2 linked regions of the Mus musculus genome follow. The protein of the gene in region 1 interacts with the protein of each later gene in a pairwise test. Links are inferred from orthologs where the notes say so. Each region holds a gene or a part of one and is shown in the gene's direction. Other genes may lie near its edges. The genes, in order: Rgl2 and Rap1b.

What was found.
Region 2: the proteins of Rgl2 (region 1) and Rap1b interact in a two-hybrid assay, tested with the Homo sapiens proteins (2 studies listed by BioGRID and IntAct). The link is inferred for Mus musculus from reciprocal best matches to the Homo sapiens genes RGL2 and RAP1B.

What each region holds. Positions count from the first base shown.
Region 1 is NC_000083.6:33,928,511-33,932,838, forward strand, and holds the start of Rgl2 (ral guanine nucleotide dissociation stimulator-like 2), read left to right. Parts: upstream 1-1,383; 5' UTR 1,384-1,534; intron 1,535-1,734; 5' UTR 1,735-1,775; coding exon 1,776-1,931; intron 1,932-1,937; exon of another isoform or gene 1,938-2,433; intron 2,434-3,215; coding exon 3,216-3,299; intron 3,300-3,529; coding exon 3,530-3,708; intron 3,709-3,810; coding exon 3,811-3,861; intron 3,862-3,943; coding exon 3,944-4,241; intron 4,242-4,328. UniProt on the Homo sapiens protein: Probable guanine nucleotide exchange factor. Putative effector of Ras and/or Rap. Associates with the GTP-bound form of Rap 1A and H-Ras in vitro.
Region 2 is NC_000076.6:117,843,009-117,847,471, reverse strand, and holds the start of Rap1b (ras-related protein Rap-1b), read left to right. Parts: upstream 1-1,497; 5' UTR 1,498-1,641; intron 1,642-4,463. UniProt on the Homo sapiens protein: GTP-binding protein that possesses intrinsic GTPase activity. Contributes to the polarizing activity of KRIT1 and CDH5 in the establishment and maintenance of correct endothelial cell polarity and vascular lumen.

The sequences.
Region 1 (4,328 bases):
CTGTCCTGGAACTCACTCTGTAGACCAGGCTGGCCTCGAACTCAGAAATCCGCCTGCCTCTGCCTCCCAGGTGCTGGGATTAAAGGCGTGCGCCACCACCGCTGGACTCGAACTAAACTTTTAAGATGAGAAAAAAGCGAGACTTAGCGCCACACTCATTTGATGCCCACAGTCGGGAGGCAGAGGCAGTGGATCTCTGACATTTCCATGCCAGCCTGATCTACAAATAGGGAGTTTCAGGTCAGTCGGGGTTACTTGGCGGGGCTTTGTTGAGAGAACTAAATATAAGAACACACATGCGTAGAGTCCCAGGGTTGAGAAGAACCAGTGTATGCGCCAGAGAGGCGGGTTCATAACCTGTGGCTCACAACCCCCTTTAAGTCCATCGGAAATACCAGACATTAGGATTCACAACAGTAGTAAAGGCAGTTACGAAGTAGCAAAGAAAATAATTTTACAACTTGAACTGCGTTAATGTTAAGAAGGTTGAGAACCACTGGCCAGGGGATTAGGACGAAAGGTCTTCATAGCATCTTAAGATTCTAGAGACCTCAGGGACAGCCCACAGCAGTAGTCTAGAGACGGAAAGGTCCATGTGTCTCCCTCGCGGACTAAAGCCTACCTCTCCAGCTCTCCATTCCTACCACAGCTTTTCTTTTGCCTGGTCCACCTTTACCATCTCCGGGCCTGGTGGGTCTCGGCCCTTTACGAATGTCCCCGTGTGGTTCGTCCTCTCCTGTTCGCCGGTCCTCGTGAGCTAATAAAGTCTTTCCGAGTTTCCATGCGGGCCTCTCATTCTCCCGTTTCCAAGCACAGCCAACCTCGGTCACCTCCCGGTCCTCGTCTCGCACCCGGGAGACGACATAGCCACCGTGGGAACCGCGCGCGCTCGGGCGCACGGTGAGAGCCGGACGCCCGGAGCGACGGACCCGAGTGGAACCGGAAGCGCCGCACTAGCCGGCTTCCGCCCCCTCCCCGCGAGTGGGCGGGCATAAGGGCGGCACAGAAAACCCGGCGCGGATTCGCTCCGTTGCACTCGTGCCGGGGCGGCAGTGTCATTCTCGAGCTGCAGTAACGGGGTCGCGCCACTGCTAGGGCACTTTCCTCGGCAGTTGCAGCGCCGCTCTGGTTAGAAAAAGTGACTTAAAATTCCGTGTTTGCCTTCCTGTGGAGGCTTGAGACAGGACCCTGGTCTCCAGCGTGTCTGCTGCGAGACGCGGGCTTCAGAGCCACCGAGTGGGGCTGCAAGGGACAGCGGAGTAGTGCACCTGCAGCCTGCGTCCCAGCCCCTGGCGTCCAGCACTCCCCTAGTCGCTCTCCCTGGCTCCTGTCCTCACTTCCTTCCCTTTTTGGCTCCTGCTGTCGGGCGGACGCGGGGAGGGGGGAAGCGGAAAGGGCGGGAGGGCCCGGGAGCCCGGCGGGGTGCAGGAGGGGGGCATCGCGGAAAAGCCGGGGAGGGGACTCGGTAGAGGGCCAGAGACCGACAAGAACAGAGGCCCGGGACCCGCGCGCAGCCCTCGCCCTTCCCGAGCAGGTCAGAGCCGGAGCACCGGGTGACCCTGCCCATTCCGCACTAGTTAGCCCCCAAGTCCCAAGCAAGCACCGAGGGCTTGGGTTTCCCCACTCCCGTATCTCCCTCCCCCAGCCTTCCTCAGGGACTCCCACCTAGGTCCCTTCTTGTCCGTCTCCCCCACGCCCGTCTGACTCCACCCAATCCCACCCGTCTCTCCCCAGGCGCCCCCATGGCCCGACCCCGCTGATTGCTTCTCTCGGCCATGCTCCCGCGGCCCCTGCGGCTGCTTTTGGACACGACCCCCCCCGGGGGAGTCGTGCTGAGCAGCTTCCGGAGCCGGGACCCCGAAGAGGGTGGGGACCCAGGTGGCCGGGCCGTGGGCGGGGGGCAGGAGGAAGAGGATGAGGAAGAAGAAGAGGTGAGACGCGGGTGGCGGGAGGCAGGGCATTAAATATTTCTGAGACTCTCCTCCTTTCGGTGTCTCTGGGTCCCTCGGTCTCTTCCTCCCCGCCTCACTCGCATCCCGCCCGCCACACTCTCTCTGGATATCTGTCCCCTGGCTGCGGGTCCTGGTGTCTATGAAGTTCGCCCTGTCTGTCTGCTCGGAACCTGCCCGTAGGAACCTGCCGGAACCAGAATGGCTGGCTGGCAGACGGGCTGACTGTGCCTGCGGGGCTCAGGCCCTCTTTGCCCATACCTGCTTAGACGGGTGCCACTGGGCAGTTGTATCTTGGTCCCTGTCTCCCTCCTCGTTTTTTGTTTGGCTGGGAGGGGTTTGTTTCCACAGTAACCAGCTCCTCAGACTCTAGGATTGGGGAGGGAACCCTCAGATTTCGCCGCCTCTTCCCCCACCCCCTGGTGCTCAATAGAGGGCAGCAAGCCAAGAGGTTCCGGCACCTGGAGAGATGATCCCGGGATAGGTAGAGCGTGGTCATCTTCGTCCAAAGAGACTGATAGGATGTAGTCCGCAGCAAGATTTAGGGATTCAGGAGGGTCCAGAAGTTAGATTCGGAGCCCGAGGATCCAGACTCCTGGGCCCCGACATTGGTAAAGTTAGGGTGACTAGCAAGGCTGGTTTTTCGGGATCGGTCGGGGGAGGGGCTAGGGCCACATGACTCTGAGTCTACCGCCCCCCCCCCCCATCATCCTTACTTCCCCTTCTTGTAACTGGGATTGGAGCCGCCACCTTCAGGGGGTCCCCAGTGCTGAGATTAAGTGGAAGCTGTATTGGGGACCTGGGGAAAAGGAGTCTCTGCGGAAGGACTAAATTTGGGCTCCTCTGGTTCTGTCAGGGAGGGCGGGCCTTGTGAAGTTTCAGCTTCTCTCTGCTTCAGGTCTCTCTTCCTTTGGCTTTGTGCCTCTTCGGGCGCGCTCTGCTCCTGACTTTGCGCCCTGCTTTTCTGCGTTGGGCTCAGCTGTGGGACAAGGGGGGTTGGAGGTGGCCAGAAGAGGGGTTCCTGCATTCAGTTGAAACCCTCACTGCAACCTCTTCCATCCCACCGAGCTCTGAGGTGGCCGGGGGGGCTGTCTGAGCCCCAGGGTGGGGTAGACCTGGGGTCACCAGTACCCTCTACCCCTCGCACTCGCTGGTATTGTCCCCCGCCATCACAGGTGAGGGGTGCAGAGGGAGGAACAGGGCCTGGGGACAATGGCTGGGGACTGGAGGTGCTGTGGAACTCACTTCCTCTTCTTGCTCCTCCAGGCTTCTGTGTCAGTCTGGGACGAGGAGGAGGATGGTGCGACCTTTACTGTCACAAGCCGCCAGTACAGGCCTCTTGACCCCTTGGTGAGATCACGACTTTGAGGTCTTGCCTCTCGGTTTTTAATTTAATATTTATTTATTTATTTTCCGGAACATTAGGTTGAAGAAGTTCTGGTAGTGTGAAGGTAGTTCTGTGTTGTGTGATTTAAGCCATTTCTGAACCGGGGCAGAAATAAGCTAGATCTGGATTATCCCAGATGTCTAGCAGTCAGATTGAGGAGGCCCGTCGGTGAGACACCCTCCATGTTCTCCAGGCTCCCTTGCCTCCACCTCGCTCCTCCCGACGGCTCCGCGCTGGCACTCTGGAGGCCCTGGTCAGACACCTCTTGGATGCCAGGACAGCAGGGGCTGACATGATGTTCACTCCGGCCTTGCTGGCCACCCACCGGGCCTTCACCTCCACTCCTGCCCTGTTTGGGCTTGTGGCTGACAGGTCAGGGGCCAAGGGTTAGGAGGCTCCTGGATTCCCTTTGAGCACCCCCAGCACCAGCGGGGGCTGGAAAAGCCACAAGGTAGACCCTCTCCTCATCCCCAGGCTGGAAGCCCTTGAATCTCATCCTCCCGGTGAGCTAGAGAGGACCACAGGGTGAGTGGCCCTGTCTGAACCTCAGTCCCCTCAGGGTGCTGAGGCTAGACCTCTGACCCCTGGCTGATTCCCCTTCTCTCAGGGTAGCCATCTCTGTACTTTCAACTTGGCTGGCCTCTCACCCTGAGGATTTTGGCTCTGAGGTCAAGGGTCAACTTGACCGGCTTGAGAGCTTCTTGCTTCGGACAGGGTATGCAGCACGGGAGGGTGTTGTGGGGGGCAGTGCTGACCTCATCCGAAACCTCCGGGCCCGGGTGGACCCCCGGGCCCCCGACCTTCCTAAGCCCCTGGCCCTTCCTGGCGATTCCCCTGCTGACCCCACGGATGTCCTGGTGTTCCTCGCTGACCACTTGGCCGAACAGCTGACCCTGCTAGATGCGGTGAGACCTTGACCTTTGACCCCACACTCTCTGCCCCCTTACTAACCTCTCCTTGGCTCCGGATCCTTTTCTTGCTTCCAATTGTCC
Region 2 (4,463 bases), on another chromosome or scaffold:
CACCTCTGGCTTCTGTGTGCCCACAGGCGAGGGCACAAGCGTGCAGAAGCACACACAACTGTCAATTATGGGTTTTTTCTTTTTTTGTTGTTCTAAAGGTTGAACCTACTACACTCGGACACTTGCTAGACAAGTACTGGATCATTAAGCTATGCCCCCCCCCTTTTTTTAACTTCTTGAGAATCTCACAAAACCGTTTAGGTTGGCTTTAACTTACTCTGTGGCCTCAGCAACCTAGAATTTGCAAGGAGCCACCTCCTGCTCAGTCTGCAGAAGAAAGAGGTGTGCTCTTACAGACTGGCATCCTGAGACCCAGCTATAATTCTTTCTTACTCGCTCACTTAACTCAGGTTAGCGTAGTGGTCACGTCTCCATTTCTCTTCTAGGGTTCGTTAAATTTCCAGAATAATTTGTACAGGGAGGGCCAGCTAAATTGCCTACTCCTTTCAGTACTTTCCTCTCAAGTTTTGTTCATCAAAACCTTTTCCCTCGCTGGCAGTGGTGGCGCATGCCTTTAATCCCCAGCACTCCATACGTAGAGGCAGGTGTATCTGAGATGAAAGCCAAGCTGGTCAACATAGCAAGGTCAGGCCAGCCAGGACCACGCAATGAAGAGAGCGTAATCAGAGCAGAAACAAAGTCTTCCAAACAAAGCTCTGATAGCATGATTCTCATATTAAAGGTGATGGTGAGAAAATATTCTAATTACCTAGATCGATGTAAGTTCTTGTGCTCTTTGGAACAAGTCATTTTTGGACAGAGCTTTTCGGAGTCACATCATAGACTGACATCTATGAGTAATCTATAAAGTCATGAAGGCGCCCCAGGCATGCTCTTCCATGAACCAATTATTTTAATTCTATAAACTGTTCACTTAGGCACAGGCCATAAGCATGCTTTGGAATCCTCCATTCGCGAACTGCGTCTGGCAGGGTAATTTGGACAGCTGGCCCTGCTTAACACACCACAGGCTGAAATACTTGTCAAACCTAAAGAAAGGCCATTTGAAAAATGAAAAGCTGCCCTCGCGCTCTGGGAGTGGGAACTGCTGCTCTGTTACTTCCCCAGCACAAAGGACCACGCGAACACCGACGGTCTGGGGGCGTTGGCGACTGTGCACTCGGAGGCCCCGCGAAGGCGTCAGAGGTTTCCAAGCCCCTGAGCTCCCCGTTACCCGCTGGGGTCGAAACGGATGCGCTCCGCTGAGGCTGACACCGATTATGTCGGACAGCCCAGCCAGCGGGGGGCGAGGCCGACCGCAGCAACGAGACGCAGGGCAGGGGAGAAGGGCCACGGCCGGAGCCGGCGACCGAGAGCCGGGGCGAGGCCCACTGCGAGGCGAGCACGACGAGACCCCGCCCCCCTCCGCCAGGGCCCGCCTCGGCCCCGCCCCTTCCCGGGCTGCGCTCCTGCGCGCCCCGCCCGCGGGCGGAAGCGAGAGCGAGGCTGAACGCCTGACGTCAAGGCGACACCGCCAAACCTCGCCCAGAGTCAGGCGTGGAAAGCAGCCCGAGCGGCGGCGGCGGCGGCGACGGCGACGGCGGCAGCGGCAGAGACCGCCGTGGCGCCGGGAGCAGCGACCCGAAGGGAACGCGCGGCGACGGCGAGGGCGACGGCGGCGACCCGGTGACAGCGCGAGAGGTGGGCGCGGGGTGCGTGCGTGGCCGCGAGGCTGGCGGGGGGCCGGGCGCCGGCTGAGGGGAGAGGTGGGGTGCGGCGCGGACCGGGCGGGGCAGCCCGATGGCCCCCGCGGCGGCGAGGGTGGCCCGGGCGCGCGGCAGGTGGCTGGCGGGGGGCCCCCCGAGTCCCTCGCTCGCTTCGGCGGGGCGCGCCGCCTCGGGGCGGCCGGGGAGGAACCGCGGCCGCGGCGGGGGAGCAGCGCGCTTTGCGGAAGGGGTCAAATGTCTGAAATATGGCGGAGGAAGTGAGCGCCCGAGGAGCCCCCACCCGCCTGCCCGAGGCCCCCGCAGCCTTCCCCGCCGCGCCCCGCTCCCCGCCTCGGCGGTGGGTGGAAGTTAGAGCGGAAACCAGAAAGTTGTCCTCTGCGGACACCCGGGCTTCTCCCAGCCCGGGGCCGGGCGGGCGGAGCAGCGTCGCGAGGGGGGGCGGGGGGACCACTCCCCGGCGCCCCGCGGGCTCGAGCCTGACAGGGAAAAAGTTTGCCCGGATCGGGGCTGGCTTGCTTCATTTGTTGCGGGAAGTGGCAGGAGGAAGGCAGCGGAGCGAGCCCCACCTAGTCTGGCAGCCGCCACCGTGCAGAGGGAAAAAAAAAATGTTAAAGGGGCCTTTCCTTCGTCAGCAAGAGGAAATCTCTTTTTCTCTTGCAGAGAGAAAAATCCAGGAAGTTTGTCCTCTTCTCCTTTTTTTTTTTTTTTTCTTTTCGCCATCTCGAGGTGTCTGATTCTGAAACTGACTTATCAGCGCCGTGAATTTGGGAACTAGGCCCTCGGGATTTTCCTTGGGGTGGAGGGGGGCGGGAGGAGAAGATGCCTTTGGAAGAAACATCTTCGCTTAAGAGTTTTGAGCAGATGGGATTGCTTTCCTTTCGCTTGCCCCCTCCCACCCCCCAATGCTTTAGAAAGATATTTTGGCCCTGCGACTCTCGACTCGTGTGCATACAAGCACTTCTTTATTACAGTAATAGGAACTCACATTTTTTTTTTTTACTAAGTTGAAAGTTGACATTACGATGCAGGCTGGACTTTTCAATATTTTAAAAATCAATTGAGTCTCGTTGAAATGTTTGCTTTGCTGGCAGTGTGTATTAATATATACCGAGTGCCTCTAGCTTGTAAATTCATTTTTTTTTCAGTTTTCTTTTGTATAATTAGAACGTTGTCGAGACTTGCCTGAAAGGAGTTTATCTTAGCAAGAAGTAACTTAATTGAATGGAGAAATTCTTTTAATTTAAAGCCCTTACCACTCTTAAAGCCTGATATGAAGTCAGTGTATTAAGTCATAATAGAGTCATGGGGCTTTTTAGGGCCGGAAAGAGACTCTTTAAATCATCTGGTCCCACCCTGTCGTTTCATGAGGAGGAAACTAAGGCCTAAAATAGATAACCAATTACCTGAGTCTGCTGATTTGTAAAGCCGTGGTCTATCCATAAAGGACAATCCACAGGAAGCAATGTGACTTTTTTTTTTTTTTAATTGTGAATTACATCTTGGTAGAGATTATTGGTCCCATTATGCTCTCTTCTCCAAGAGTGCCATAGTTAGCTAAATGGTATGGAATACGTCAACCCCTTAGGTAGTTTCATCCCCTGGTTTTGGTTAGAGGAAGTTAATACTCCGAGGAGGAAATAATTTTAACTTAGAGACACAGAATCCCAAATGACAGTCTTGTTTGATATCCATACTTTTAATCTCTGTAGTACATTATATTCCCTTGTACTTTCTTGTTTGACACAGAAGTTCAGTGACCTTATCTGTGGAAGCTGCAAAGTAAAATCAAAAGGACATATAGTTGCTTGTGCTATAATGTATCGAACCTCAGATTAACATCTGAAGGGCCCCATGCTAAGCCGGCTTAATTTTTAGTCTGTGGTCTGGGACACAGAAATGATGAACGTGTCTTTCTTCTTTTTCTGTCTGTCTTACCACTGTTCTTTCCGTGGCTTGTATCACTTCCTGTCTTCTGTTACTGTTGTGTGTGTTTCTCTGTTCTACCAAGTTGTAAGGTCCAAGGAAGGGGTAGATTTCTTCTGCATGCCTCAAATGACTAGCATGTCGCTGTTACATAGACACTCAGATGAAAGTTCAGTAGAGTTCATTGAACACACCATGAGAATAGGAATTCTGCTTTACTCTTAGTCCCTAGCATTTTACCTGGGCACATAGTGATGTTTGGGACTTAATTCAGAGACTAAAGAGAACAGTGTAATCATTTTAAAAAGAATTAAACATTTTCTTTGGGAATCTCTCACTTTCCACGTTGATCATTTTATCATTGGTCATTTATAATGATTCCAGTATTTTCTTTTGACCTATACAGGGAAAGTGAGCCCTCCCACTAAAGAGCCTATAAGAGTAACAAGTTGAAATAAAGAATCCTTTTTAAAAGATTTATTTATATGAGTACACTGTAGCTGTCTTCAGACACACCAGAAGAAGGCATCAAATCCCATTACAGATGGTTGTGAGCCACCATGTGGTTGCTAGGAGTTGAACTCAGAACCTCTGGAAGAGCAGTCAGTGCTCTTAACTGCTGAACCATCTCTCCAGCCCTTTTTGTTTGGTTTGTTTTGTTTGTTGTTTGTTTGTTTGTTTTGAGACAGGGTTTCTCTGTGTAGCCCTGGATGTCCTGGAACTTACTCTGTAGACCAGGCTGGCCTCGAATTCAGAAATCCACCTGCCTCTGCCTCCCAAGTGCTGGGATTAAAGGCGTGCACCACCACCACTGCCCCCTTTTTTTAAAGTGGTGCGAGGCATGGTATTTTGCAGCTGTGATCCCAGCAGTTA